Linked DNA regions of Saccharomyces cerevisiae S288C. The protein of the gene in region 2 binds, or shares a complex with, the protein of the main gene of each other region. Each region holds a gene or a part of one and is shown on either strand. Other genes may lie near its edges. The genes, in order: MRPL1, MRPL20, MRPL11 and MRPL49.

The links.
Region 1: MRPL20 (region 2) and MRPL1 share a complex: the UniProt entries of both Saccharomyces cerevisiae proteins name them as parts of the mitochondrial large ribosomal subunit.
Region 3: MRPL20 (region 2) and MRPL11 share a complex: the UniProt entries of both Saccharomyces cerevisiae proteins name them as parts of the mitochondrial large ribosomal subunit.
Region 4: MRPL20 (region 2) and MRPL49 share a complex: the UniProt entries of both Saccharomyces cerevisiae proteins name them as parts of the mitochondrial large ribosomal subunit.

Annotation. Positions count from the first base shown.
Region 1 is NC_001136.10:682,224-685,333, reverse strand, and holds MRPL1 (mitochondrial 54S ribosomal protein uL1m MRPL1), read left to right. Parts: upstream 1-1,752; coding exon 1,753-2,610; downstream 2,611-3,110. Other genes in the region: TMA64 (Tma64p), read left to right, coding at 1-1,388; mitochondrial 54S ribosomal protein bL34m MRX14, read right to left, coding at 2,842-3,110; YDR114C (uncharacterized protein), read left to right, coding at 3,108-3,110. UniProt on the Saccharomyces cerevisiae protein: Component of the mitochondrial ribosome (mitoribosome), a dedicated translation machinery responsible for the synthesis of mitochondrial genome-encoded proteins, including at least some of the essential transmembrane subunits of the mitochondrial respiratory chain.
Region 2 is NC_001143.9:598,594-601,628, reverse strand, and holds MRPL20 (mitochondrial 54S ribosomal protein mL58 MRPL20), read left to right. Parts: upstream 1-1,947; coding exon 1,948-2,535; downstream 2,536-3,035. Other genes in the region: DEAH-box RNA helicase PRP16, read right to left, coding at 1-1,772; ribosome dissociation factor GTPase HBS1, read left to right, coding at 2,739-3,035. UniProt on the Saccharomyces cerevisiae protein: Component of the mitochondrial ribosome (mitoribosome), a dedicated translation machinery responsible for the synthesis of mitochondrial genome-encoded proteins, including at least some of the essential transmembrane subunits of the mitochondrial respiratory chain.
Region 3 is NC_001136.10:96,954-99,724, forward strand, and holds MRPL11 (mitochondrial 54S ribosomal protein uL10m MRPL11), read left to right. Parts: upstream 1-1,521; coding exon 1,522-2,271; downstream 2,272-2,771. Other genes in the region: ACK1 (Ack1p), read right to left, coding at 1-1,000; TRM8 (tRNA (guanine46-N7)-methyltransferase), read left to right, coding at 2,608-2,771. UniProt on the Saccharomyces cerevisiae protein: Component of the mitochondrial ribosome (mitoribosome), a dedicated translation machinery responsible for the synthesis of mitochondrial genome-encoded proteins, including at least some of the essential transmembrane subunits of the mitochondrial respiratory chain.
Region 4 is NC_001142.9:244,597-247,475, forward strand, and holds MRPL49 (mitochondrial 54S ribosomal protein bL21m MRPL49), read left to right. Parts: upstream 1-1,893; coding exon 1,894-2,379; downstream 2,380-2,879. Other genes in the region: SAP185 (Sap185p), read left to right, coding at 1-662; enoyl-CoA hydratase PHS1, read left to right, coding at 995-1,648; mitogen-activated protein kinase kinase kinase BCK1, read left to right, coding at 2,659-2,879. UniProt on the Saccharomyces cerevisiae protein: Component of the mitochondrial ribosome (mitoribosome), a dedicated translation machinery responsible for the synthesis of mitochondrial genome-encoded proteins, including at least some of the essential transmembrane subunits of the mitochondrial respiratory chain.

The DNA.
Region 1 (3,110 bases), on a different chromosome or scaffold from region 2:
TCAACGGCGCTAACTTAATGATTTCCGGTTCGATCCCACCCTTTGATCCTCGTTGTAAAATAGGTACTCTTTGTGGTATAGCTAGCAAACAGGCACCAGAAACTGTCTTAGCCATCGGTATTGTCGAATTAGATCTACCGTCCTTTGATAAAGTAATTGGTGAAACAGGAGTTGCTGTCAAAATCATACATCATTTCAATGATGGGCTCTCCAAAGTCTTTAAAATGAAATTGGAACCTCCATTTGTTCTCAGTACTCAATCAAAGGATAACAATATCAGTAGTAAACAGATAGAATCCTCGGAGCAAATCAAGGCTGTTGAAAAGGAACAAGAAGATGTAAAAGAAGCGTCTGTTGATGTAGAGGAGATTGCTGAAGTTCTAGACCATTTCACTGTGTCGGATGTAGATTATTTCATTACAAGAGCATTATATTATACCTTGACTCAAGATAAAGGTTTGGAATTACCCATTTCAGCTTCTAACTTCATCTCAAACCACATTATGCGTAATTTGCCTCCAATTGATCACAATGAAGTCAATGTAAAGAAAACTTCATGGAAAAAAAGCGCAAAATTTTTGAAACACTTCGAGAAAGAAGGCTTCTTGAAATTAAAAGGAAAGGGGGATGACTTAACTATTGTGGGCAAAAATACTGACAAGGATGAGTTAAAGAACTTTGTGCCATATAAGCTTGGTTGTAGCAAGTCTGCCACAGAAAGTAGGGAGAGCACAACCTCGAAGGAGAAAACATCTGGAATGATGTATTCACTGACTCTGTATAAACCCTTTAATCTTGCCAAAGATCTTTTGAAGGAGGTTAATTTGGCTTCTCACACGTACTACACCTCTCAGGACATTAGAAGCGCGGTTTCTCAGTATATTTCTGTCAAGAACCTAGCAGACACAAAAGATAAAGGAAAAGTTATTATGGACGATCTATTATTCGATATGGTCAATAAGAAGAAGAAAGTCTTGAATGCTTCACGTATCATTGCTAGAGGTGAAATTTTGCATCCCTTACTCACCAATAATTTTACCGAGTTCTATCAGATATTCAAAAGCGATGATACTCTCTTGTTCAAGGCGCCAATGAAGGGTTCCCTTCCGCATATTAAGATTATTACTGAAATGAAAATTGGCAGAAAAGTTATTACCAGAGTGAGCAATTTTGAAGTGTTTCAAGTCGACCCAGAATCACTTGCGGCTGACTTAAGAAAGATTTGTAGCGGATCGACAACAATAAGTGAATCACAAACATTCAAATGTGCTGAAGTGCAGGTTCAAGGTCCACACGGTCAATCGATCATTGATCACCTTAACAAGCTAGGTATTCCAAGCAAATGGATAGACTTTGAGAACAAGTTGAAGAAGAAAAAAAGAAAGTAGATTTATATCATATAAATGTTTAAATGCGTAAAAATGCCCGACATCAAAGCATATAGAACTTTTTTACCTAATCGAAGCTTTTCTAAAGTAGGTATTATGGTAGTCTTGAAACCCACAAAAAATATGAATGTATCATGGGAGGGAACGAAATGTTTTCAACAGCGGTAAAAATATACTATATTTGTATATCCAGTTCATCTTTACTATTCTCTATTTTTTAGTGTAACTTACATTATGAGACTAGCGACAAAATCTCCTTTTTAAGCGAAAAGAGAAAACTTTCGAAAAACCAAAGTATTTTGAAAAACGACCTGAAATAAAGGGAATTTGAAGAAAACTAAACAGTGATAAGTCATCAAAGAAGATGCTATCCGTAGTAGCGATCCCGAAAATATGTGTCACAGGTCCTGCAAGAAGATGCTTTTTTCATACTGCAAAAAAACTATACGCAGATGACTATAAACCAGCAGCTATGTCCTCCAATGCACCTTCGCTAACAAAAGACCAAGCCAAAAAAAGAGAGTTGAAAAGATTGGTACAACGAAAGGCCGAGGCAAAGAGACCAGCTACAGCAAGCCCATTGTACATGCCTGTTACAAAGGCACTAAGATATTTACGCGCAGCAGAAGTTGGCAGACCGCAATCGCAACAGACAATTAATTTGACTACATTGGTAGTCGGTGAAAGAGGTACAGCGCCTTTATCCGGTAGCGTGACATTTCCTAAGCCTTTGAGATATATCAAAATTGCTGCCTTTACCAACGACGAAAGTAAATTGGAAGAGCTTCGTGAGAAATACCCAAATCATTTGATTGGCGGAGCAGATCTTGTTGCCAAAATTAAAAGCGGTGAAATTAGCGTTGATTTTGACAAAGCATTTGCAACTCCTGATATTGTTCCAGCTTTACAATCGCAGGTGGCCAGGATACTTGGTCCTCGTGGGGTTTTACCCTCTGTCAAAAAAGGTACGGTGAGTGATGATATAAGCTCCTTACTTCAAGAAAGTCTAGGATCTATGCCTTTCAGGCAAAGGGGAAACTCTATCAGCATTGGAGTCGGCAAATGCTACTTCACTGATCGAGAAATTTTACAAAACATTATATCCGCTAGAGCGGCATTTAAAACTGCTGTTGATAATCAAAAATCTAAGAAACCAAATATACTGAGTAAAACCACATTATCAAGCACACATGGCCCCGGTATTGTAATCGATTTTGCTTAATCAGCGAATCAGTTTTGTCTTGTTGGACTTTTTTAATTGTATATATATATATACTGGTGCATTTTCTTTCTTTTTATATAAAATCATGTACATACAAAGTAACCGTCTTTTTAAAGTGGAATAAAGTAACTGCTCTTTTATTTTTGAATAATAGTGAAAGTGTATGTTGCATAATCATTAGATACCTATGTACAAGAAGTATTCAAATTTATCTGAATAGTATGTGAAATTTCAATGAGACAAAAACCACCTACCTTTGAGCTTCCTCCTTTTCAATATCTTAGAGCCCTGTTTGCTCTTGGCCCTAGCCAAGAAACCAAAAGTTCTCTTCCGTTTCAATGTACTAGGTTGATAGGTGTTACCCCTTGATTTCCATCTTCTTTGACCTATTAAGCCAAATCCCAACGGTGTGAAGGACGGAGTCTTCAATGGTGAACTGTTTAAGAGCATACCGGTTTGTGGGCGTAACACAGATAGAGCAGAGAAAGAAGATATAGATG
Region 2 (3,035 bases):
TATACTTGCAAAAACTTTTCTTGCAGAGTGTCGAACGTTGTTTCAATATCTTCTTGACCTGTCATGAAAATGAGAATATCACCGCTTGAACAATCGTTTGCTAAATGAATTTTCACAGCCTGAGAAACTGCAGCTTCTACGTAGTCTTGAACAGGGTTGGAAGTATATATGGTCTGTACGGGGAAAGTTCTTCCAGGAATTGTGAACTGAGGAGCATTACCAAAAAATGCGGAGAACTTCTTCGCATTCATTGTTGCTGAAGTGATTATGAGTTTTAGATCTCTTCTACGTGCTAATAAAATCTTGAAAAAACCTAGTAAAATGTCTGTATTTAATGACCTTTCATGAGCTTCATCAATAATAACACACGAATATTTATCGAGTGTATCATCCAATAAGGTCTCTCTGAGTAGAATACCATCCGTTACAAACTTAAGTTTTGTACACTCAGAATCCGTCACATCTTCAAACCTTATAGAATAGCCTACTTCCTTACCCAATGGAACTTGCATTTCCATTGCAACCCTTTTTGCAACGGATATGGCTGCTACTCTTCTCGGCTGTGTGACAACAATAGATTTCCCCCTATCGTTGGCATATCCTTCTTCATATAAATACTGTGCAAGTTGCGTGGTTTTACCTGAGCCCGTTTCACCAATTATCACCACTACTTGATTTTCTCTTATCAATGATAACAATTGAGATCTGCAGCGGAAAACAGGCAGTTGCTCTTTAGTATGTTTAATGTCATCTTTTGATGGCGTGAAAAGAGCTGTATCGTCGCAAATCTTTTGGTTGCTCTTATCTTTTGCTTTATTGTTATTCTCCAAGCCTAGTACTTCCCCCATGGCAGTGTTCAAAACAGTGGTGTTGTCTCGAGATTGTTGAATATGTTCCATGTTTATCCTTCTCAAGGCAACCAGCTTACTACCTCGTTTGGCGTTCGCAGAAAATTCACTGTCAGGATTCCTAAATGGATTCACCATTGATAAAGCGGATACTTGGCTGGACGTCTCAGAGATGGACCCGATAATTATGGAAGTGGGCACTTTGTTTTCAAGAGCAAACTTTGATAAAAAAGGAGGGATCCATTCCATTCTTTGCTTGAGTGGTATGGGGTATAATTGAACGGTATTTCGTAAGGCATCATCGTTGTCGATATTCCTAATGACAGGTAGTAGTTTCGCTTCCTCAGGCAATTCAGACAGAGGTTCAGGCACCAAATTTCCATAATCATCATCATTATCATACCATTCTCTGTCCTCCTCAACTACTTCGCTTCGAGTCGGTTCATAGTCCTTCGTTTCAGCATGACCATTCTGTGTTTGCTGTTCACTATTTGGAGAAGGATCCTTCACGGTGGGCGAATACTGCCTCAACTGTTTGGCCTTTAGTTTATCTATTCTCTTGAACAACGTCCGTGTAGGTGCTGGTTTTTTTTGAACTGGAGAATCTAGCTCATCTTCATTATCGTCAAGGTCTAACTGGATCTTAAATTTCTTTCTCTTATTTATAGAAGGGGCGATTTTCTTTGGGCCTGTCGAGTCCTCTTCAGATTTATTCTTGAGGAGCTCCAGAAGTTCATTAAAAATGATTGGATTGTTACTGCTGAGTTTCGTCAAAGCTTTACAGCTGGCAATAAACTGTTCTAGATTAGTATTCGGCTTTTGCGCTAGTTTCTGCAGTGTCAAAAGCAACCCAGGCGTTAGTTCTTTTGACGTAAGTTCCTTAAATATGTCTTTTATCCTTTCCTCACGCCCCGAATGACCCATACCAGAGGTATTTGTATTGTCTTTGGGCCTTCTTGTGTTTTATCATCTGCAGTCATCTCATGAATTTTTCAGCTTTCACCGCTTTTATTATTTGAGAAAATAGAAAAGAGGGCAAAAAGAGATACTTTCAACAAGTTAAAATGGAAAATTAAAGACAAAGTAAAATAGCACAAGAATGATTGGCAGAGGTGTGTGCTGCAGATCGTTCCACACTGCTGGATCTGCCTGGAAGCAATTTGGATTTCCCAAAACACAAGTGACAACGATTTACAACAAGACTAAGAGCGCATCTAACTATAAAGGGTATTTAAAGCACAGAGATGCTCCAGGAATGTACTATCAACCATCAGAATCCATCGCAACCGGATCTGTTAACAGTGAGACCATTCCACGTAGCTTTATGGCAGCCAGTGACCCTCGTAGAGGGCTTGACATGCCTGTTCAAAGCACTAAAGCGAAGCAGTGTCCAAATGTTCTCGTAGGTAAGAGCACAGTGAACGGCAAAACCTATCATCTGGGACCTCAAGAAATTGATGAGATCCGGAAGTTACGTCTTGACAATCCTCAAAAGTATACACGCAAATTTTTGGCTGCAAAATATGGCATTTCGCCATTATTTGTATCCATGGTCTCGAAACCTAGTGAACAACATGTACAAATTATGGAAAGTAGATTGCAAGAAATCCAATCACGCTGGAAGGAGAAGAGGCGTATAGCCAGAGAGGACCGTAAGCGTAGAAAACTCCTGTGGTACCAGGCGTGAATGCTATATAAATATAATAACAATCGTGTAAATACTACTCTATAAGTACTTCGTATTCATATATTGATCACAATGCACGGAGACGCCCATTAATGTGACTTGAATATACCACATGAAAGCTAACCAATAAGCAATTTAAAAAGAGTTAAGTACAGCTTGGAGACACCCAAAGGCTTCTGCTTCGACAACTATTGACTATCGAGATGGCTTACAGTGACTACAGCGATGGAGCAGACGACATGCCGGACTTTCACGACGAAGGTGAATTTGATGATTATTTGAATGACGATGAATATGATCTAATGAACGAGGTATTTCCTACTCTAAAGGCGCAGTTACAGGATTACCAAGGCTGGGATAATCTTTCACTTAAGCTAGCTTTGTTTGACAACAATTTCGATTTGGAAAGCACGCTGGCGGAATTGAAGAAAACTTTGAAGAAGAAGAAGACACCAAAGAAGCCAATTGCTGCTGCTAATGGGAGTGCGAATGTTACTCAA
Region 3 (2,771 bases), on a different chromosome or scaffold from region 2:
AATAGGGTTGGTGTGAATACAGCGTCCCCATTAAATACATGGCAGGTGGCCATTTTAAAGTTATCAATTTTGTGAGCACCTTGAATGAATGTTCCAAAATGACTTTCTGGTTTTTGAGCATTTCCTCAGGCTTTAAGCTTCTTTTGAGCTTCTCCGCGTTTATGTTATATTGCGATATGAAATCCTCATTAAAGGCATATGTAAGTAATGTTTCACACCATTGCATTTGTATCTCGGGGGTGAATTTTGAAGAGTCAGTAATTGTCTTCTTGTACACTTGATAGAAAGCCAATGCCTCTGGTGAATAGGAAGACAGTTTGTCCTCACCACCTGAGGACCCATTATCGTCTGTCTTCGCGCTCCCAGTGGGTGGTTGGTTGATTTTTTGTGGTGGAACAGGATTATTATTCAAAGGTCGTATTGGAGCTTTTTCCTCGGTTCTGTAAACTTTTTCCTGCAGTATCCTAGATTCAGATTCCTCATAGGGTGGTGGCGCTGAGTTGTCCCTTACAGACTCTGATATTCGATTTCCACTGCTTATTGATGCATCTTGTACAGCTGGTGAACCCAAACTCTCTTTTGTAGAACTAAAATTGAAAGGAAGTTCATACCTACTACCAGTACTGTTGGTGCCATTATTGGCATATCCTATTTCACCTGTTGGCTTGGAATTAAAAATGTCCATGCCGTTATTACTATTTATGGTTACTGGAGTGCCTAATTGACCACCATCAGCATTCCCGTCTGTGAAATTCAGCGCACTCAAAGGCAGCGATAATGATGAGGAAGATGAAGGGGATGTAAAAGGAATAGCTGGTGTGAGTTCAACGATAGAGTCATCCACTGGATAGGGTGCAGGCACTATATTTTGAGCTGGCAAACCATGCCTATCCGAATTGGCATTTCCCAATTTATGCGAGGACTCCCGCGCCCTTGCTGGTGGAAACATGTTAATGTGTTTGTCATAGAGGTTAGGTTGCGGTTGGCCCTGATTAACCATTGCCTACTGTATTAAAACAAAGTATTAAAACGTGGTGGTACACTCTGTACAAAAGAATAGAAGGAAATGAAAAGAAAACGGAGTTAAAATCTACTTCATAAAAAGAGACGCTTCCAAATCCAGTCTCTACCACGTTCTTGTATATAATTTGAGCAACTCAAATTAAATTACCGGGATATCTGCTTATTCTACAAGCCATAGCATCCAGTGCTAAGGTTCATCTCAAGCCATCTTCAATACACTTGATAATTAGTCGTCAATTTTAAAATTAGGTTTCGTTCTTGAAGGCACTTAACCTAAGCTTTTTACTATATGACCTATTAAACAAGTCTTTTTCATAGTGTAACCTAACGTTTATACACTAATAACCCTAGGGCTTAGTAGAGATTCATACAGAAAAAAACGTAGAGTTATAGCAGTAAACTGAGAAAAGAAAGAAGGTTAGTACAATTGAAGAGTAAGGAAAACAAAAGCTTTAGACCTTATTGGAAGTGCTTGGGCGCGGAGTGTGATTATAAATAATGTTGCAGCTAAGGTTTATGCCTGGATGGGTCCCCAGAAATGGTTTTTTTGGTTTGAAGGAGACAATTGGTACAGTACATAAGAGATTTTATGCTCTGGCTTCTGAACAACCCTCAAGAAAGACAGTAAAGCCGCTGGACTCGAGGAAGACGTTTCTCATCGATACATACAAGCATTTAATGGAGAACAGTTCTATGATTTTTTTTGTCCATTACAATAATCTTTCCAAAACAGAAGATCACCATTTCAGATTCAAGATTAAACAGACAGGAGGGAAACTCACAAAAGTAAGAAACAACCTGTTCGAAGTCTACTTGAGAAATTCGCATCTGCCCGACCCATGTGGATTCGTGAAGCGTAAAGAGCAAAACTGGAAACATCCACTCTTGCCACTACTGAAGGGTCCTACGGCCACAATTACATACGAAGACACCAACCCTCAACAAGTAGCCAAGCTATTGAAGGTTCTGCAGTCAGCACAAGACAAGCTGATGGTGATTGGTGCAAAAGTAGAAAACGAAGTTTTGAATGTGGAAAAAATAAACACTTTTAAGACTCTCCCCACAAAGCCGGAAATGCAGTCGCAGTTAGTCAGCGTTTTGCAAATGCTAAGTGGGTTGGGTTTGGTTCGTACGTTGGAAAACAGTTCAAATGCATTGTATTTAACACTAAAATCTCACAATGACAACCAAAAACCTAAAGAGGATGTGGAGTCAACTACAGATGCAGAATCGAAGGGATCAAAGTAAAAAGAAAATGCCCGTAATTCGACAAGTTTTATAAAGGTTTTACTATTCAATCATGTACATACATCATCAAAAAATAAAAAGACAATGAAGCAATAACGGTAAATATACTTTAGTCTATGTATTGACGTCAAAATTACCTTTCTTTTACCTTTCTTACCTTTTTACATATCTCAGCGACCGTTGAAAAAAAAAAAAAATGAAAAATTTTGGTGATGACTTCAGCAAAAAATTTCAGGATATTTCTGACATTTCACTTTATTAAAGCGCCACAAAAGCTGGATTAGTATAGATTCAGCAGTTCCCATAGGATAAAATTTTCAAGCGTTTATTGTTAAGATGAAAGCCAAGCCACTAAGCCAAGATCCAGGCTCCAAGCGTTACGCATACCGTATAAATAAGGAAGAAAATCGTAAGGAGTTGAAGCATGTAAAGATCAATGAAAGTTCTTTGGTGCAAGAAGGCCAAAAGATCGACTTGCCAAAGAAGAGATATTATCGTCA
Region 4 (2,879 bases), on a different chromosome or scaffold from region 2:
AATATCGTAATGGTGATTCCGTTAGAAGCAAAGAATCGAATTCATCAGAAGGCAAACGTGACCAAGAGCAGCTTTACTATGAGTACGTTAACGAAGATGGTACAAAAACAAGATTAAACTTCAATCCTGATTCTGACGCCACGGAACAAGTTCCAGGTGAAGTGAATCGCGATCATAAGATACCATTGAAGCTTAAGCGAAGTTTTACGGATGCATGCAAATCTGAAACAATACCAAATAATACAGTTAATGCTAAGGAAGAAAGTGTATTTCAATTTAGCAATGAACTTAGTGACGGCTGGGAGTCATCACCTTCTAATTCTATACCCAAGCGTGCTTCTCCATCAAAAAATGGCATGAATTCACCTATGTTTCAACACCAGTTTGAACTTCATAGCCCCACCGATGAATTTGGAGGTCATAAAGACGAAATATTAAGCGCGGAAGGCCATGACTACGACATAGATGAATACGATGAACTGAGCGATGACAGTGATGAAGAGTATGATAACTGTGAAGACGAAGACAGTTTGGATTATGCTGATTCCGCCGCATATGCATTGTGTAGATCCAAAAGTAAGGACAAGATATCATGGGATGAAGAAGAACAGGCGCGATTAATGGGCGTTGTAAAATTTAATTCAGAGCATTACAGGGACTAGGAAATAATACTAATTAAATAATTCTAATAATTCTAATATTAATAACAATAATAATAAGAATAATAATTATACAATAACACATGTATTTCCTAACTCACAATCGTTTGGACTACATATGCTGTCTAGTGCCTTATTGCGACTTTGCCCGTTTGATAACTTACTTCGATTGTTTAGTATTCAAAAAGGAAAAAGGCGTTTTCTTTTTCGTGTACTTTTTTTCGAAATTCTGTTGAATTTATTCGAACTCAGAATTGGTCCATCAAGAGCATCCAAAATACAAAATAACTCATCATCACACAAGAAGAAGCACAACTCCAAGCAATTTCTACAATATGTCAAAAAAACTTGCGTCACCATTGTCCTTCTTACCCCTTTATAATTTGCTTTCTGCTGTTGGTTGGTCTTATTTGCTTTACTTGGTCATCTCCTTGTACCCAAAAGTTGGACAGCCAGCATTCTTCTACCAAACTAAAAATGTCGCTACCCTTGTTCAATGTGGTGCTATAATCGAGATCATAAACTCATTTTTAGGAGTTGTACGTTCCCCATTGCTGACCACTGTTGCACAAGTGTCTTCAAGACTACTAGTTGTCCTCGGCATCTTCCAATTGTTGCCAAACACAAGTGGTGTTCAATCAGTTGTTTACATATCATTATTACTGGCATGGTCTATAACTGAGATCGTCAGATACTTGTATTATTTTTTCATGTTGGTATTCAAGAATGGCGCACCAAAGATCTTAATTCTATTAAGATATAATTTGTTCTGGATTTTGTACCCCACTGGTGTTGCCAGCGAACTACGCATTATTTACTGTGCTTTAAATGCAGCTGAATCTCAGTATTCTTTACTTTACAAAAGAATTTTAATAGCGGCCATGCTCGCTTATATCCCAGGCTTCCCAATGCTCTTCCTACACATGGTAGCACAGAGAAAGAAAGTCATGAAAAGTTTAAGATCCTCTTTCGGGAAGAAACTAATTTGAATTCTTTAGATAAATTCTTCTGTATTTTTTATAAGAATATTAGCCTTCACATTGAAATGGCTTCAACGCTCTTAACCATAATCACTAGTATCTTGCGGTGCACGGGCTTTATATTGAGCAAAATTGCGAAGGGTAGCCGAATTAGAGAACTCTTAGAAAGATGTCGAAGCTCACTCGGAGTCGACCTTCACAGCCTACTGAAACAACTGTGCCGAGACAATCTTAAGTGTGTTGCTCTAATTTTCATGCTACAACTGAAATTCATATGGCCAGTGGCCAGAATCACACCTATTTATAGGCCATTTACCAGTCATCCATTCAGAAATTTAGCTACTTCCTCAAGCATCAGTAGTACAAAAGCTAAGACTACTAAGACAGATACAACTCCACTAAAATTATCAAATGAACTATATGCAATATTCAAGATTCATAATCGTCCATATTTGGTGACCGAGGGCGACAGAGTTATTCTTCCATTCAAATTGAAGCAAGCGGAGGTGGGTGACATTTTAAACATGACCGATGTAACAACTTTAGGATCTAGAAACTACAAGCTAGTTGGTCATCCAATCAATACTTCTCTGTATACTTTAAAAGCAACCGTTGTTGGGAAAACTAAAAGGGCTTTCCAAACTAGGGAGGTAACGAAGAGAAGAAATAGACGGGTCCGTCATGCAAAGAGTAAAGGTGATTTGACAATCTTAAGAATATCAGAACTGAGTATGAACTGAATTTTAGGGATATGTACATATACGCATACGTATAAAATCATGTAAATAACAATAAAATTTGACACACTTTCTTCGGCCCCAATGGCCATTCAATTCCAGACCGACGCGTCTTCTAAGTTATAATGCTATGAAATTTCAACAAGTTAATTAAAAGTAAGCATAATAATAAAATCAGGTAATGGATTCACCAAAAAAAAAAATAAAAAAACAAGGGCAGAGGGGTGACCATTAGTACGAAACACTAAATATAGTATTAAAATAGTTCAACTCCACCTCCAAATGCCCTTTTTGAGGAAAATAGCGGGGACAGCACATACACATTCTAGGTCTGATTCGAACTCATCTGTGAAATTCGGCCATCAGCCGACTAGTTCGGTAGCATCAACCAAAAGTTCAAGCAAAAGCCCTCGTGCAACATCTCGCAAAAGCATTTATGATGATATTAGAAGCCAATTTCCCAACCTAACCCCCAACTCTACCTCTTCTCAGTTTTACGAAAG